2 linked regions of the Bombyx mori genome follow. The protein of the gene in region 2 interacts with the protein of the main gene of each other region in a pairwise test. Links are inferred from orthologs where the notes say so. Each region holds a gene or a part of one and is shown on either strand. Other genes may lie near its edges. The genes, in order: TAR DNA-binding protein 43 and 5'-3' exoribonuclease 2 homolog.

What was found.
Region 1: the proteins of 5'-3' exoribonuclease 2 homolog (region 2) and TAR DNA-binding protein 43 interact in binary tests that used the Homo sapiens proteins (3 or more experiments, as listed by UniProt). The link is inferred for Bombyx mori from reciprocal best matches to the Homo sapiens genes XRN2 and TARDBP.

Annotation. Positions count from the first base shown.
Region 1 is NC_085116.1:8,096,771-8,100,704, forward strand, and holds the start of TAR DNA-binding protein 43, read right to left. Parts: upstream 3,091-3,934; 5' UTR 2,719-3,090; coding exon 1,483-2,718; 3' UTR 1-1,482. UniProt on the Homo sapiens protein: RNA-binding protein that is involved in various steps of RNA biogenesis and processing.
Region 2 is NC_085131.1:902,890-906,824, reverse strand, and holds the start of 5'-3' exoribonuclease 2 homolog, read right to left. Parts: upstream 3,048-3,935; 5' UTR 2,927-3,047; coding exon 2,852-2,926; intron 2,266-2,851; coding exon 2,026-2,265; intron 1,748-2,025; coding exon 1,518-1,747; intron 1,005-1,517; coding exon 898-1,004; intron 280-897; coding exon 121-279; intron 1-120. UniProt on the Homo sapiens protein: Possesses 5'->3' exoribonuclease activity. May promote the termination of transcription by RNA polymerase II.

The sequences.
Region 1 (3,934 bases), on a different chromosome or scaffold from region 2:
ACCTTTACTTTTTTTAAATATATTAAAAAAATAACAATTATTAAACTATCTACAAACTTTTATTTTGTTTAGTTGGTTATGAGGCACAGATTTTTATCTTATTTAGCTTTATATTTTTAAAATGAATGAGTATACTATTTTTTTAAATGTATTTTTCAATATAACAACACTTGTATACTATCTAATAAACTTTCAAACAGAGTATCTATTTTTGTAATAAGGCAAATTGTTGGATTAAATTGACTGTAGCACAATATGTGATATGATATACATATATCGCTAATTTCAAAATAACATTTATCATACTATCTATCCTATATACATTTTTTTTTGCCAAAGTGTGTATATTTTATATCATTGTACATATAAATTGAATGCTAATTTTAACGAAATTTTATAGTCCACATTTTAACATATTTTCATCTCGATTGTGACTGTTCTTAAGTATGATTAGCATCAAATAGATTTAAAAATAGACATTTATTCAATTTCAACATTTTTATAGGCTTTTATATATTATAATTATGTAACAGTTTGAGTTCTTGTTATTGTCCTTGAAAATATGGGATAGAGATAAAAGTAACACCTGCATTTTCTAAAATAGGACTTGTTTATAATCAGCAATTTTTTTTTATAAATTATAATAGGATTTAGGTAATTTTGCAGTAACTTTTTCATATCCATTTGTATTTCCTAATGTAAGGTCTAGCTAGCTCTTACAAATGGTATGAGATTTCAGATTAGTGATTGCAAGTTACATTGTAATTATGATATTATCTGTACATCTATGGTACTATTAGTGTACAAAGTAAGAATGAATTCAAACAAATCCAAACTTGCTGATAAATATTATTTGTCATAGAGAACAGAATTGCCGTGTTTTAAATTAAATTGTAATTGTATAGTCATAAAGATGTGAATATTTTTCAAAACATCATTTTAATGTAAATTCTGTTCTTAGATTTATTAAGGGAAGTTACTGTTAATTTTGTACTTAGATGGTTATATTACTTTACCTACCATTATCTCATTTATGGACGGACGGCCCTAAACATGACAATGTAAAAATTACAAAAATCTACCTCAAAGTTGAGGAATCTGTTGATTACATCTCAGCTCTAATTAGTTATGTCGATATTTATTAGTATTTTTAAGTAGTAATATGAAATGACAAATAAAAGCACAACAACAATCTTAATCTAAAACATATGATACAAGTATTACATAATTTTTATACAGAAACTGCTTGTAAAGTGTTATGTTTTGTTATGGTGCATAATTTTATCTATCTAGGATAAAATTCATAAGAACAAAATTGAAAACAAGCAATTCCATAAATAAATAACATCATTAGCAAATTTTTAGGTTAACCACTTGCCACCAACAACAACCCATCTTTTACTGAAGAGAAAAACAAGTACTATTTATCTAAAAAATGTTGCTACAATCACAGAGATTATTGTGAGCTTGTCGAAATATTGATCAGACAGAGTGGCCTTGGGACTGATGTCTTTGTCCCCACTGACTAGAGGGTCCTTGTGCTGAATTACCTTGTTGCATCCAAGACAGGAAGTTTGGTGGTGCTGGAGGTGCCGATGATGCTGGACCAGCAAAGGCACCTTGTTCTGATGCACCTGAAGGGATGTTGTTGATAAGACCCCAACCAGCTGCCTGGTTAAGAGCTGCTGCTACTAAAGCTTGATTTACAGGTAGTCCTCCCATTCCTATAGGCATACTGCCACCTTGTGCTTGTCCTCCACCACCAGCTACAGCTGTTTGTCCATGTTGACCAGACATACCAAGTGCTTGCATATTAACCATATCCATGTTTCGGTTGCTCCAAGAATTATTATTAGACACATTGTGTGGATGACCTTCATCATAACTTCTACTAGGCATGGCACGTTGGTTTGTACCACTTTTGTTTTGCTTTGGAGATGCATTCGAAACATTAACAGAAACACCTTTTATTATATGGTCTTGCCCACATAGACTCTGCGCAACTTCTGGGTCAAGAAATGTTATAAAACTGAATGCCCTAAATGGTTTTGGGATGAACACATCAGTAACTTCTCCAAATTGAGAAAAATACTCTCTCAAGTCATTGGCAGATAATTCTTCAGTACAGCGGCCAACAAAAACTTTACAAGGCATAGATGGTATAGATCCTTCTTTGGAATTTGGTATCCTTACATCACACCACCTCCCATCAATCATGTGCCTTTGAGCAAGAACTCTCATTTGGGATGTATAAGATGCAAATCGAATAAAAGCGAAACCTTTAGACATTCCCGTTTTTGGGTCTCTTTTCAGCTGAGCCATTAATACTTCACCAAATTTTTCAAAATATTCTCGCACTGTCTGCTCTGTGGCTTTCCAAGGGAGTCCCAAAACTATCAGGTCCGAACATAAGGTGTCATTTCTTTTATGTCTCATAATTGTGGACTCGGAATTTTCACCAAGTTTGCGTTTATTTTCTTTAGGAAAACTACATATATACAAATAATTTCCCCATCCTTCTGGAGGAGGATATAGTCGACCATCTCTTAGTCGAATTCCCCTGATGGTTTTCGTTTCAGGGTGTCGATATTTCAATCCGCAGCAACCTGGAAACTGTGCAGACACAGTCGATAGCATCAAAGCTCCATCTTCTTCGATAGGCAGTTCTATGGGTTCTTCATTTTCGTCTTCAGCAACGGGCAAATACTCGAAAGACATTATTTATTCTTCATGAACAATATAGTTAAAATCTGATGAAAATTAACACAATAACTATACTTATTACTAGAAAATTGTATAATTTAACTTCATCTAAAATAAATAAAATTTAATTAAACGTCACCTACGGGTTACGAACCCATTGCAATTTGCAGGTTGAAAACATATGTTAACCAAAAGGTTTTGAACAATAAATTTAGAAAATATCAAAGTGATTTTCAGGGCATGGAAGTATCAATATTGAGAAGTTGGAGTATAGTAATAGACAACTTTCTAAAATTGACATTTTACATCACTCACATACTTTGTTTTTTTTTGGTCATAGCAATACAAAAATCTAGACACTGTGCGTCCTACTCGAAGATTGAAAACGAAGTGAAGAGTTGTATTTTAGATTTCACACAAAACACGATGCATTTGTATTGCAGTTGCATTGTTATTATACGCAGACTTTGTTACAACATAAGTCTGTACATGTCCTCTTTGCCTGTCCTAAGAATGATTCAATTTGAAAATAATTTTAAAAAAGGGCAAAAAATATTTTAAAAAATACGGAGGTATATAACTTCAGACTTCAGGGCAGGATTAGCAGCTTGACCTCTATTTAAATTATATTTAACGACTTAGTATTTCTTTTTGGGGGATTATATCAAAGGTAATGTATTCCACAGAGTCCGATTTTTTTTTAATTGCCCGGATAGGCAGACAAGCTTACCTGATGGTGAGTAGAGTTACCGTCGCTCATGGACGTCAACAATGCTAAGGGGAGAGCCAAGCCGCTGCCTACCATTAAATATTCTCCACAAGCTTCGTTTGAAGAAGGACATGTTATAGCGTTCATAGAGGGGAGCTCATTCCAAAGCCGGATGGTACATGGCAAAAAAGATCTCTGGAAGCGCTTTGTGGATGAACACAGTGGTTCTAGGTACTATGAACTATGAACACCACTGGTGGGCGGTGCGATGGTAAACCCGAGATGTTGGAATCATCTGAATTAATTCCTCAGAGCACTCCCCATGGAACATGCGGTACAAAATACAGAGAGAACCGAAGACCCTCCGCAGATCCAGAGGTTCAGAACGATCCGTGAAAATGGGATTTCACCTATGCGAACGGGCCAGTTCTATATGGAGTCAAATAGAAGTAGTTGGTCTGAGTGTTGGAGTTCGAAATGTCGGAGGAATTCGCATTCAAATCAGTTAGGTTAGCGCAGCAT
Region 2 (3,935 bases):
AATAATGGAAATTGATTTACATTACCTATTTATATTATATTATTTAGGAGCACCCTGTATATTAAATATTATATATTACATACATATATAATTGATCTAGAAAGAAGATTTTCTACTAACCAAGTTGCCCGCAAACATCACAGGGTCTCGGTTTATTAGGCTTGAATTCCTCACGGATGATAGTGAAGTTTGGCTCGTGAGTGGCCAGACCCAGCATGATTAAATCAGCATCAGCACCGCACAAAACATGCTGAGTGTTTGGGTCGTGGTCTGGTTGCGCTGTTGAAGGGATTATAGAGTTTTCTTAGGTTGTAAAGTTAGTCTGATAAATAGTATGTCATCTATTGGATTAATTCAAGGTTAATTCAAATTTTAAGCATAGAAACATCAAAATACACTATGCACATTTCATTGTAACAAACAAAATAGTTATGAGTTAAATCACCTACAGGTTTATGTTCTGTTTATTTTGCCACATAACTCCCAAATGTTCTGGGTCAATCGGTGATACAGCTTTTATACATTATCATTGAGATTTTCAGAGTGTCTCACGGTTAGTGAGAACATTAAGGTTCAGATATCTGTAGTGAGATAACTCAACAAACAGACTCAATATCAAATGGGCTGTGAAAAGTCTGTCCATTTCAAAAATAAAGTAATATCAATTTAATTAATAATGTCAATTATTACTGTAAAATTGAGGTTTATTACATTACAGTTTACTCAAAATCTGACGGTTAAATTGTCTTGTGCGCCCTGATGATTAGGTACAATCACCGTACTTCTGCTGCAAAGCAATAATGTGTGCTAGTCTGGGCTCCAGTAACCAATGAACAGCAGGAGAGCTTGTTCAATCCTGTATACAAAAGAAACCTCCACTAATAAACGATAACTAACCTCTTTGTCTCCTAATGTAGTCCATAATCTTATGTTCTCCTTCCCCAGGAACATTTGCATCAGATAATATAACCTTAATGCCCTTCCATCCGGGGTCATTATTTAATCTAAAAAATTAACAATATTTTGAAATTATACAGGACAAGTTCTCCACAAGCACATTTTGTCCAACATCATAGGTGGCAGAGCATTTTGTGAGCCTTCCTATCACAATGCAGATTTTTTATCTAAGCGGTACTTTTCATCAATGTGTACGTCTGAAATAGGCTAAAGTCCTAGTGTTTTAGGCAGTAGACAGAGCATGTCTGTTAAAATTAATAAAAAATTTGTTCGACAATATTAATTTAACCTTGAATGAGCCAAAAATCACCCAAGGTGCACCGACAGCATGGTGAAGTGTTTCACCTTCATGACTGTCCCTCGGGATCAAACTTTGGACATTCATTATTATAAAAATTAGTCTTAGACCTCATATTTTGAAGGTTGTGTGGCAATATTGTGTTAACAGACTCCAGTTGCCACTTAATACCAATTGGATCTAGCTTGTTATCCTGAAGCAGTAAATAAAAAACGCAAAGTTGCTGGCAGAAGTCGCATGGATATAAGTAAAGAATCCCTACCTGTCATGTATGTAATAATGCAGACACTTGCTCAGTCTGTCCATGAACGGTGTCCCCGGTGTGATACAATTAGAATCAAAGTGAGCTTCCTTAGGCCTCTCTGGTGGTAAGTATGCTCCTTTAGCCTGAAGTTCATTACGGATGCGAGCCACTTCCTCAATCTTCTCTTGGGTTTCTTTGGACGCACGGAAACGTCGAGAACGTTGCTGGTTCATTTTAGCTCTTGGAGCCTTGAATTAAGATTCAAATTATTTTGATTGCAAATTTTTATTTTATTTCTATTTACTCATCCTTAGAATTTAGGTCATAATATCTATAGTCAAAGTTCCAATAAAGCTAATTATTTTACTAATGAAACACAAATAGACATTAATGACTGGGATTTGATTCATTAGTCATCCTTTTAAATACATAATTATATAAATCACAACTATAAATGCTATAATTTTGTAATGCATTCTAACCAGCTTATGTACATTTAATAATAACTTTATAAATTAATACATACCACTCCATCTATAGCCATATACAACAGTTTCCTAGGCCTCACAATACGAAAAAGTCTGTCAATGCATTCAAAGATGGCAACCATCATCTCATCCTCATCTTTTGGTGCTGGTTTATCCTCGGGATGGGTGCATGGATGGATGATACCATTCATGTCCAGGTATAAATTGTCAAACTCCACTCCATTTGGATTAGGGAGGGAGGAATCTACATATACTAACTGGCCATCTACGTCGGTTGGCTGAAACGTCAATTTTATTATATATTTTCTACCACTTTATACGTGACAAGTAGACGAAACAAATAATGGCAACAGCTGGACAACATGTTGAGTCTTGGCTGTAACATGTGACCAGTGGGGTCGAGACAGATGTTTATGTGTACTAGACATCTGTAATTACATTGAATGATTAAGGTCTTAAGTAAAATAGCATCCACTTGGTGGTGAGTGAATAATTAAAACTCTGAACGATGACATTTTCTTAGAATGGAGAAATGAATAATAGGAATGGAAATGTTGACAATCTTGTGAAACAATCTTCAGAACTTTAGTCATGCGCGTCATTTGGTTCTTTAGAGCTTAATCACAAGATGGAAGTTACCAATACCATTACTGTAATACAAGGTGAGCATTTTAACTAAACAAAAAAAGGCGCAGTTTTAGAGGTCGACTTGCGAAGAACAGCCCGACAACATTGCGTAATTATTGCTTTTCTTGTTAAAATACTTATTTTATAGTGATTTTCGATACAGGCACCACGTATATTTGTTTTGCTAGACCCTCAAAATAACTGTAAATAACGATTTTTAGGTTATTTTTCATTTACCTTTTGTTCAACACATTCCACTATTACACTTGGATATTTTCGGCTGAGCCAGCGGAAGAACGCTGGAACTCCCATTATGTAACACTCGTCTTAATTTTTATTGATGGTGATTAAATGTTTTTTGTGTTTTATTTGTCACGTATTCAACACAAACAAATCGACGCAGGTGCCATTTTAAGTAGAGAGAGAAAGCTGACAAACAAAGCAGGATAGCACTAAGAACACACTATTTCGTTCGGAAACAAGATTAAACCTTGATCATGGAGTTAATAAGTACCTACAATAGTAACTCTATGACCTTGATAGAGCACTTCTTAATAAAAAGAGAATTTTGTTCATTCTTTCCACCGATGTTAAGGCATACTAATAGTAATTGTCCAAAACAGAGTTTTAGTTTTATCTACCGAATCTGTGTGTATTGAAAATGTTTTTTTTTGCTTCACAAAATTTTGAAAGTTCCTATGTAGGTAATTTCTAATGAAGCTCAAAAGGCGTAATCATTAGTAAAATACTTGTTAAATATTACTGATCACTTTAAATACGAATACACAATACAGATTCAAAATGGTCTAAGAAAACATTTTTCCTTTTTAAGACCTTTTTAAATATGTTTTACATTCACAGCGCGGGTTAAAACTTTTTGGTGGTAATGCGAGGAGCAAAGATATTTAAATTGCTTTATTTTGCTAATTAAACGCTTATCTAGGATTGAACGAGTAACATTACTGGCCGTGTAGCGTCTACTAAAGTGTATAAATACAGAAAAATTAAACCATGCTAGTATACTTGGGTTTTCAGGTTCTTTTAAAATATTCATTGAACTTTTTATTTATCTATAATGGTCACAGGAGTCCAGAGTCATCACAACTTGCATATTAGCCATAGACCTTTAAAGTACATCAGTGATATTAGCTCCATCTTGACACACGACGAAAACTCGAAAGTATTTTTCCTTCAAACTGGAATATAAGACGGTTTCGGGGTAGTCAGGATAATAGTATTTACACATGCAAACTTACAATTCACTCTACTACCAGTAAGCGCTACATGGCAATCACAGTACGCTGGCTATGAAGTTGAGAGA